Linked DNA regions of Xenopus tropicalis. The protein of the gene in region 1 purifies or fractionates together with the protein of each later gene. This does not show direct contact. Links are inferred from orthologs where the notes say so. Each region holds a gene or a part of one and is shown on either strand. Other genes may lie near its edges.

Evidence for each region. Proteins that work in one complex are often made in the same cells at the same time.
Region 2: the proteins of katna1 (region 1) and katnbl1 purify together in Homo sapiens (affinity purification with mass spectrometry; 3 studies listed by BioGRID and IntAct, counting the BioPlex papers as one, with this or other methods). This does not show direct contact. The link is inferred for Xenopus tropicalis from reciprocal best matches to the Homo sapiens genes KATNA1 and KATNBL1.

The regions. Positions count from the first base shown.
Region 1 is NC_030681.2:58,147,407-58,151,994, forward strand, and holds part of katna1 (katanin p60 ATPase-containing subunit A1), read right to left. Parts: intron 2,923-4,588; coding exon 2,788-2,922; intron 2,208-2,787; coding exon 2,081-2,207; intron 1-2,080. UniProt on the Homo sapiens protein: Catalytic subunit of a complex which severs microtubules in an ATP-dependent manner. Microtubule severing may promote rapid reorganization of cellular microtubule arrays and the release of microtubules from the centrosome following nucleation.
Region 2 is NC_030684.2:118,599,000-118,604,345, reverse strand, and holds the start of katnbl1 (KATNB1-like protein 1), read right to left. Parts: upstream 3,286-5,346; 5' UTR 3,210-3,285; intron 1-3,209.

The DNA of each region.
Region 1 (4,588 bases):
AAATGCGGTTTTTAAATGAGGGTTTTTATTATTTAGGGAGAAAAAAAAATCCAAACCTACATGGCCCTGTGTGAAAAAGTAATTACCTAATACCTAATAACTGGTTGGGCCACCCTTAGCAGCAATAACTGCAATCAAGCGTTTGCGATAACTTGCCACGAGTCTTTTACAGCGCTCTGGAGGAATTTTGGGCCACTCATCTTTGCAGAATTGTTGTAATTCAGCTTTATTTGAGGGTTTTCTAGCATGAACCGCCTTTTTAAGGTCATGCCACAACATCTCAATAGGATTCAGGTCAGGACTTTGACTAGGCCACTCCAAAGTCTTCATTTTGTTTTTCTTCAGCCATTCAGAGGTGGAACACTGACCTTAATTGAGGCAAGTGAGGCCTGCAGTTCTTTAGATGTTGTCCTGGGGTCTTTTGTGGCCTCTCGGATGAGTTGTCTCTGCGCTCTTGGGGTAATTTTGGTCGGCCGGCCACTCCTGGGAAGGTTCACCACTGTTCCATGTTTTTGCCATTTGTGGATAATGGCTCTCACTGTGGTTCGCTGGAGTCCCAAAAGCTTTAGAAATGGCTTTATAACCTTTACCAGACTGATAGATCTCAATTACTTTTGTTCTCATTTGTTCCTCAATTTCTTTGGATCTTGGCATGATGTCTAGCTTTTGAGGTGCTTTTGGTCTACTTCTCTGTGTCAGGTAGCTCCTATTTAAGTGATTTCTTGATTGAAACAGGTGTGGCAGTAATCAGGCCTGGGGGTGACTACAGAAATTGAACTCAGGTGTGATAAACCACAGTTAAGTTATTTTTTTAACAAGGGGGGCAATCACTTTTTCACACAGGGCCATGTAGATTTGGAGTTTTTTTTCTCCCTTAATAACGTAAACCTTCATTTAAAAACTGCATTTTGTGTTCAATTATGTTATCTTTGACTAATAGTTAACGGTTTTTGATGAGCAGAAACATTTAAGTGTGACAAACATGTAAAAGAATAAGAAATCAGGAAGGGGGCAAATAGTTTTTCACACCACTGTAGATAGAGGATTTCACATAGAAAAGAACAAGAGGCCACCACCAAGGTATCAAGGCAAGGTATTTGTTTTGGTTTTTAGTTCCTGCAGTTAAGAATTTCTTCTGCTGTTATCATCCTAGGGTACCACCTACCCTTAGCCTAGTCCAGTGATCCCCAACCAGTGGCTTGTGAGCAACATGTTGCTTTCCAACCCCTTGGATGTTGCTCCCAGTGGCCCCAAAGCAGGTGTTTATTTTTGAATTTCTGGTTAGGAAGCAGGTTTTGATTGAATAAAAAAAGTTGTACGGCCAAGCAGAGCCTTTCTGTAGGCTGCCAGTCAACATGGGGGTTATCAAATAGCCAATTATAGCTCTCATTGGCACCTCCAGGAACTTTTTTCATGCTTGTGTTGCTCTCCAAAACTTTTGCCATTTGAATGTGGCTCACAGGAATAAAAGGTTGGGGATCCCTGGCCTAGTCTATATGCCATTTTACCTTACTATCAAATAATGAAGGTCCATGCAGGTGCAAGGCGGGAAAAATGGAAATGACTGATGAGTAATAAAATTGTACTAAGCCCAGTAGCTGGCTTTACTGCTGTGATTGCATCCTGATAGTGGTATGGCAACTGTGGAGAAATAAACAGTGCACTGCGTTGTTATCGTCTTTTTGAGAACTATAGCTTTAGGAGTACAGGTGCGATTTCCACAATGCCTTTAAAAGCCTTTCTAGCTAGTAACAACTTTTGAGTTAATGGATAAAGGTGATGGTGTTACAAATAGATATCTGTCTCAATGTGCTTCATGCAACATCTGTCAGAGTTTTAAAAGAAATATCCATTGGCCTTCTCAGTGCCTATGAATGCAGGACCATGATGACTTTTTGATGTGTTAATATAACCTATAAAGGCTATAAAACCACAACGTGGGTATAGATCGTTCACATCAGAAGGAAGGACTGCACTTTACTCTGAACACTAAAGAAAAACTACACGGGTCTACAAATAAGTGAAGTTCCAATGCTAAAGATTTTCTTTGGGGAAAAAAGAAAATCTATGAATAGCATACCTGCACACATTGGTAATATCTGCACCAGAGTATCCATCCATGTTTTCTGCTATACACTCAATGTTGACATCATCTGCCAGCTCCAGCTCTTTGAGATTTATGCGTAGAAGCTCCTCTCTTCCTTTTGCTGAAACAATATGAATTTACATTTTATTTACTCTTTATGTTTATTATACTGTTCAATAAGCAAGAAAAGAAGAAAGACACAATACCACCACCCACACTGATTACTAGTCATGTGCATGTTGGTTTTAGTCTCCTACCAGCTCCCTGTGCCCAACCTTAGAATTACTACTCATTTAAATGGCTATTTGAATGGCTTCAATATTTCAATACAACTGAATAACATTTGAAAAGGCCTTCCATGTTACAGTAGCTATGCAGAATTGCAGGAGTTTGCATGTCTGCAAAGGTTCCCTTAGGGTACTTTGGTTTCCTACCACACTCCAAAAATATACAGGTAGGAAATCACAATTTCCACAATTTATTTTATATCTTCAAGTGAAGTCCTTAAAATAGGTTTATACGTCATCTGTCTTTATGCCTCCATCCTTTAATAATTATTGATAAACATATGAAAACATAACCATGTATTGTAACCCTACCTAATACCATAAAATACTTTTCAGACCCCTTCTTGTACAACACGCAAATAGTTTGTCAATACTTCAATATTATTCCATCTCAACATTTATACTGCGACCCACCTGATGGCAAAGGAATATATATTCTTTTTTCTAAGCGTCTCCGCAAAGCCTCATCGATATCCCATGGAAAGTTGGTTGCTGCAAGAACCATTACCATTTTAGATGGGTCCTCATTTTCAGATGCACCACCAACACCTAACAGAAAGAAATTAAAAAAAAAATGGCAGTATTGAGATAAATAATTAGCCTACAGGTCATTCTTAGGGCTGTATTCTTTTTTTGAAAATGCAGATTAAACACAAATATTGCTTACACATTTGGCAAGAACACTGTAGGACACAAGGAGGCTTAGTTAATATTTTTTCATAACCTAATCCACTACTCTATTAAATAAAATATCCCACACTGAAGATTTAGATAAGTATTTGTTACCAACAGACTTCTGCAATTATCTTGCTCTTTTCATTACATCTAGCTGGTGATGGTGCTACAAACAATTCTGCTTTTCTCATTTTTGATTTGAGGGATTGGGTAAAACAAGGTAAAGATGTACAAGCGAATTATCTCACTCACATTGTCGTTGCCTTGCTCACTTTTTTCCAGGAATTGTTTTGTGAGGATTGTCTTTTTTCCTTAAAAAAATGCATTTGGAAAAAAAAAAAAAAGCAGAAAAAAGTGTGTGAGATAACTAACTTATCGGTTTTTCTTTACCTTTTTTTTTCCCCAACCCTCTTCCTCAAGAATGAATAATTCGGACCTTAAAAGGGGTTGTTCACCTTTAAATTAACTTTAAGTATGATGTGGAAAAACTATCTACAATTGGTTCTCATTCTTTATTATAGCATTTTTTAAATTATTTAACGCTTTGTTCAGCAGCTCTCCAGTTTAAAATTTTAGCAGCTATCTGGTTGCTAGGGCAACCAGAAAACCAAATTTAACCTAGCAACCAGGCAGTGATTTAAAACAGAGACTGAAATATGAATAAAAGAGGGCCTAAATAGAAATGTAAGTAATAAAAAGTAACAACAACAAATGTGTAGCCTTCACAAAGAAATAGTTTTTTGCCTGCTGTGGTCAGTGACCCCCATTCAAAAGCTGAAAAGAGTCAGAAGAGGATGGCAAGTCAAAAATTATAAAAATAAAAAATTAACACCAGCTGAAAAGTTGCTAAGGATCAGCCATTCTATAACATGCTTAATGTTATGATGAAGGTGAACCACTCCTTTAATGCAATTAAGTTTTAAAATTTTCTGCATAACATTTCATTTAGCAGATTGTTTAGCACCCAACTATAAATAATGGTTTACTACATATATTGTATATAGTGATATCTAACAATCTAAAATGCATTAGAAATGTGCAAGGAACAGAACATCTCTGTAACAGCAGCTATACATTAAATAATTTAACCCACTGCAGACCAGGCAATTTTGACTTCAAGTGGCAAAGATCATTTGTTTCAAAACTATACAGAAATACATCAAACACATTTTATATGCATGGCATACAGCTGATTTTGAAAGTCCAATATACTCATCAATATCAAATATTTATAGCTATAGAAAAGATTGCTTTCTTGTATAGAACCTAAGGTATAAACCCATATTTTCAAACCAATTCACCATGAATATAGATATATATTTACAAAGGGTTAAAAAAAGACCAAGTTCAACACTTCCAAGTAAACCAAACACACACGAATGTATACTGACCTATCCATACACTCGCATACATAAACTATACATACCAACATCAATTCAACTGTAAATTTTAGTATCACAATAGCCTTGGATACTATGCTTGTTTAAGAACTCATCCAGGCACCTCTCAAAGGCATTAACAGAATCTGCCATTACAACAT
Region 2 (5,346 bases), on another chromosome or scaffold:
TACCGTGATATAAATTTTTGGTCATACCGCCCAGCTCTATTGCTGGTGTAAACAATGCAGGGGATTGCTGGTGTAAACAATGCAGGGGATTGCTGGTGTAAACAATGCAGGGGATTGCTAGTGTAAACAATGCAGGGGATTGCTGGTGTAAACAATGCAGGGGATTGCTGGTGTAAACAATGCAGGGGATTGCAGCCTGAATCTGAGGTGTGAACCATGCAGGGGGCCAGTTAATCTTATTACTGATAACATTTAAAATGTACACAAAGGTAAGCAGTCACAGCAGCCAGACAGGTGGGGGCACACAGGGGTGGAAACCACCAGTTGCATAGCACTTCTCTATGCCTTTAATTGGTAGAGTTGTAATTGTATCCACTCACAATCATAGCCAACATTCCAACAAATTACGTGGCTGCACTAATCCCACTGTTGGTGAATACTGCAACCTGCCAGGACCTATTACATACCACAACTATGGGACTAGAAGAGAAGCCATTATTGGAGATACTACAAGTATACGTCATATATTTAATCCACTAAGGATGAAACATGTTGTCTATTAGTCACTACAAATTGATCCTGAAAAAAACTGGGCTGTCCCCTACTTCCCAATAGGCAACTTGATCTAACCAGTTCTATGAACTGCATCCCCTTTAATTACAAACATCTAACACCCTCTTTAGCATTATCAATTGAACTATTTGTAGAGCAAAAATGTTGGCATGGAGGTGTCTGCTAATAGTTAATGCAATATTAGGTGATTAGCAAGGTCATTATAAAAAAATCACATTCAGTATGGAATGAATCACCAGCAGTTTATTGTGCCACAAATAATATGCTTTGGCCCACATACTGAACTCCAAAAGGCAAACAATTATTTCTGACAATATAAAACCCAGAGGTTAAAAGTGCTACCGTTCTAGAACACTAACAACACAGAACAGAGAACTCCAACACACTTTAACTGCATCCAAATGGTTTACACAGTATTCTACAGCCGATTGCCTACACAGCAACAAGCTTAACGGTGGGTGAATGTTACTGAAACAGTAATGGGGTCAGTCTCACATGTGAGGTAGAATAAAACAAACAACCTGTAAGAAGAATACAGAATACAGTAATAATTATTGGGAGTTGTCCACAAAAGCCCCCTGGTTAGCCTGCTTTGCTTTATATAATAATATACAAATCTGTCTAATCTACATGACATCAGTGTTGTTGGGGGAAATAGGTGCAATGCAAACAATAATAATATCCAGGGGTCTGTCATTTAATCAATACAGGAGCGCTCTCAACAGAAAGCAGTAAAGCAGCCCAAAGCCTTTTAGCAAACAAAATAAGATCTTTTTGTAGGGCTTTTAGTTGGCCTTTTTACTACAAAGGTTTAATTTTTTATTCCTATATACCGTAACACGTTTTTCATACTTTTAACTGCATATTCTGTGGTTCACGTTTAGGTTAACTTAGTATGTTATAGAATGGCCTATTAGCAACTTTTCCATTTTTTTTTTTATAGTTTAGCTATTTGCCTTCTTCTGACTCTTTCCAGCTTTCAAATGGGCCCCAGCAGCCAAAAACTATTGCTCTGTGAGGCTGCAAAGCTGCTGAACAAAAACGGATTCAAAAACTGCAAATAAACAATGAAGACCAATTTCAGAATAGCATTCTCTACATCAGTGATCCCCAACCAGTGGCTCAGGGGCAACATGTTACTCCCCAACCCCTTGGGTGTTGCTCTCAGTGCCCCCAAACCAGGGAGTTGTTTTTGAATTCCTGACTTGGTGGCAAGTTTTGGTTCAATAAAAACAAAATTTACTACCAAATAAAGTCTCCTGTAAGCTGATAGTGTGCATAGAGGCTGCCTAGTAGACAATCTTAGCCCTTATTTGGCACCTCCATGAACTTTTATGATGCTTGTGTTGCTCCTCAAGTCTTTTTACATTTAACTACTCACGAGTAAGAAAGGTTGGGGGCCCCTGATCTAAATCATAATAAAAGTTAATTTTACACCCAACCACTTTCTGGAGCATTCAGAATATTAGATGCTATACCTGTATTTTGTTAGATCGGAAGTATAACAGAGCAACCTTTGTCCTGTCTGTGCATGAATATGAAACATACAGCAACAAGCACTACTAAATGATTGAGTTATGTACTTCACCCATTATTTTTCTTTTAGGTATCACATAATTCATTATGCTCCTGTGCTTCTTAAATAAGATGCTTTATTTTGGTGCTGTAACATTGCATCCTTTTTTCAAGATGTGTGTTATTATCCCTAGCGTTACTGCATTAATGATCTGAAAGATAAGTCTTATTTGGGGTTCTAACACATGTGCTAATTTTATACTGACCTTACTGAACAGACCCCTCAGACCCCCTCTGTCTCATACAGCTTAAAATCTAAATTTAACATACATTACAGGTGAGATAAAAAGTATCAGCCTGGCCAATATTGCTATGGCCAATATTGAATATGTCTGCTCATAACTGCAAGGAGTCACTGTCTCTGCCAAATACACCACTGGCTTATTCTGCCAATAGTACATATTAAGGGTGTATACTTTTCCTTCTATCAGGATCCTTGAAAAGAGGAAATGAAGTTATGCAATGATAAAACATACAATGAGGTTAATTGGCTCCTGATCAGTGACTGTGTGTGAATGTGATAGGGACCTTAGATTCTAAGCTCCACTGATGTATCATTGACATCATACATCATAAAATGAGTGATATATAATCTCTGTATTCTCCTTGCACAAGAGCACTGGTATCCTGAACTACACATAACAGTAAACACTGATATTGAAATACACATATAACAAAAGCAAGAACAAAGGGAGAGTCATTTAAACCCTGCGGCCTCAGAAAGAGAAATACATGAGTCTGTATGTGCTTCTTAGAGTATCTTCCCTTGAGGCTGGCCAGGCAGAGTAGGTAACAGTGAATGAAGTGGTTATCCCAGCATTATGATTCCCATAAGGTACCACCGGCAACTACAAACAGGAGAAAATGTGCTTTATAACACGCCCTAATGCGCTGCTCTAAACTATAAAAAACTGGCTAAGGGTGGTGGGAAATGTAGTTTGTAAGTACTGGGTGTTATTAAACTACAGAGCAAGAACCATGGCCTAGAGACACTGCATGGGGTTGACGCCCACTTCCCCAAGCACTAAGTCCGGTTAAATGTAAGCAAGCGGCTTTCTTACCGGCTCATGGCCCCACGGCTGGGGGAGCAGGGCAGCTCTTTAGCAGCGGGACAGTGTCCTGTACAGCGCGGCTTCCGGCTCCGGCAACAAAGTTACCCCTTCCTGACACTAGGATGCGCCATTCAAACTGCCCCGCACGGCATGCCGGGAAAGCACAAACTGCTGTCAGACTCGCCTCTGTGCGCAGGGCTCTGATTGGCTGGCGATGCGGGAAGCGAATTACGTAACGAGCGCCAACCTTTCCATGGAGACGCGTGACTTACCGCCATACTAATATGGTTGGCTGCTGAAGCGCTTTTACTTTAATGAGTACGGTGATATGTTGGGTGCGTGCTTACATAACAGAACCCAGGCTTCAAGGATGGGAAACGCTACTGAGCGCCTTTTTCTAATGGACCATATGAGGGTGTGACAATTATTGCTTAGCAGCCAGTGTCTGCTCGTTTCTGCCTAAATGCGTTGTTATTGGTTACTCTCTGGAGATGATCCAATATTTACAAAGGGCACGCCTAAGTTCATCAGAAGGATGTAGCTAAACGTTGCTGTATTCATCCTTCTGCTGTATATTCAAGCAGGTCTGGACTGGGATTTAACATATGCTATGGCATTTCAATTATGAAAAGGTCCAAACACCACCCCCCACCACCACTACCAGCCCAATAAATAGTGACTGTCTACAGCAGGTGTCCTCAAACTGTGGGCTGGACACGCCTCCCCCAAAGGTAATTTACCAGGCCCCCAACCGGTGGAAGCAGCAGGGAGCCAGAGGACAGGGGTAGCCAAAGAAAGCTGCAGGGGGAGCTGGAGGAAGCAGCGGGGAGTGGGAGGACGCGGGGGAGCCAGAGGAAGCAGCGGGGAGTGGAAGGATGCGGGGGAGCCGGAGGAAGCAGCTGGGATCCAGAGGACACGGGGTAACCGAAGGAAGCAGCAGGGGGGAGCCGGAGGAAGCAGCGGGGAGTGGGAGGACGCGGGGGAGCCGGAGGAAGTAGTGGGGAGCCAGATGACACGGGGTAGCCGAAGGAAGCAGCAGAGGGTTGCCGCAGGATGCAGGGGGGAGCAGGGAGCAAGAGGAAGCAGCGTGGAGCGGGCTATAGTGTGAGGACAAGGGGGGGGGACTTTAATCTGGGCCCCCAACAGTTTGTGGGACCATGAACTGGCCCCCGGCTTAAGTTTGAGGACCCCTGGTCTACAGAGCTGTTAACTCTTAAGATTTGTTCTGGAGTTGCCCAAGTTTCCAAGTTTGGCTCTCTCCCCTTGGTCTTCTGTGACCCTGCCACATTCTACTGATTTTTACAGGTTCACTATGGTGCACATACGCAGTATGCACCATAGCAGTAGGTATTCAGTGACACCTGGGGAGCATCTGCGCATACACATACAGCTGTCAGTGGCTTCAGGACAGCAGCTGCATGTGGGTAACGTCGATTCCAGGATTTCTGTCATATGTGATGTCACTTCGTGCAAAACATTTTTGGCAGTGCGCTGCAAGATCTCCTGAAAGTCTGGTGCTAAAATTTGAAAGCTCTGTGTCTATGGCATCTTACAGTAGCCCCTGTGGCATTTGCCAGTCCAGGCTTTGTTCCAATAAAATCTCAGAAAGCAATTACATTTTCACCAAACACATCACTCTAATTTACCTTAAGGGCTCTGGCACACGGGGAGATTAGTCGCCCGCGACAAATCTCCCTGTTCGCGACTAATCTCCCTGTTCGCGACTAATCTCCCTGTTCGCGACTAATCTCCCCGAATTGCCATCCCACCGGCAAAAATGTAAATTGCCGGTGGGATGGCATACGCGGCGGCGCAATTTCAGTGAAATCGCGCCGCCGTGTATGCCATCCCACCGTCGATTTACATTTTCGCCTGTGGGATGGCATTCCGGGGAGATTAGTCGCCCGCGAACAGGGAGATTTGTTGCGGGCGACTAATCTCCCCATGTGCCAGAGCCCTAAAACTGGGATTCTAAATAATAAAAATCCCCAAATCCCACCCAAATGGGCCTTCAGTCTGAACCCCACTTCTACTCTAAGGGGCACATTCATCAAAGTACGATTGAGTCCAAAAACAAAAAATCAGTATTTTTTCTAAGTTTTAGAACTGTGCGTGTTTTTTGCAAAATTTTAGTTAATTTGCGCAA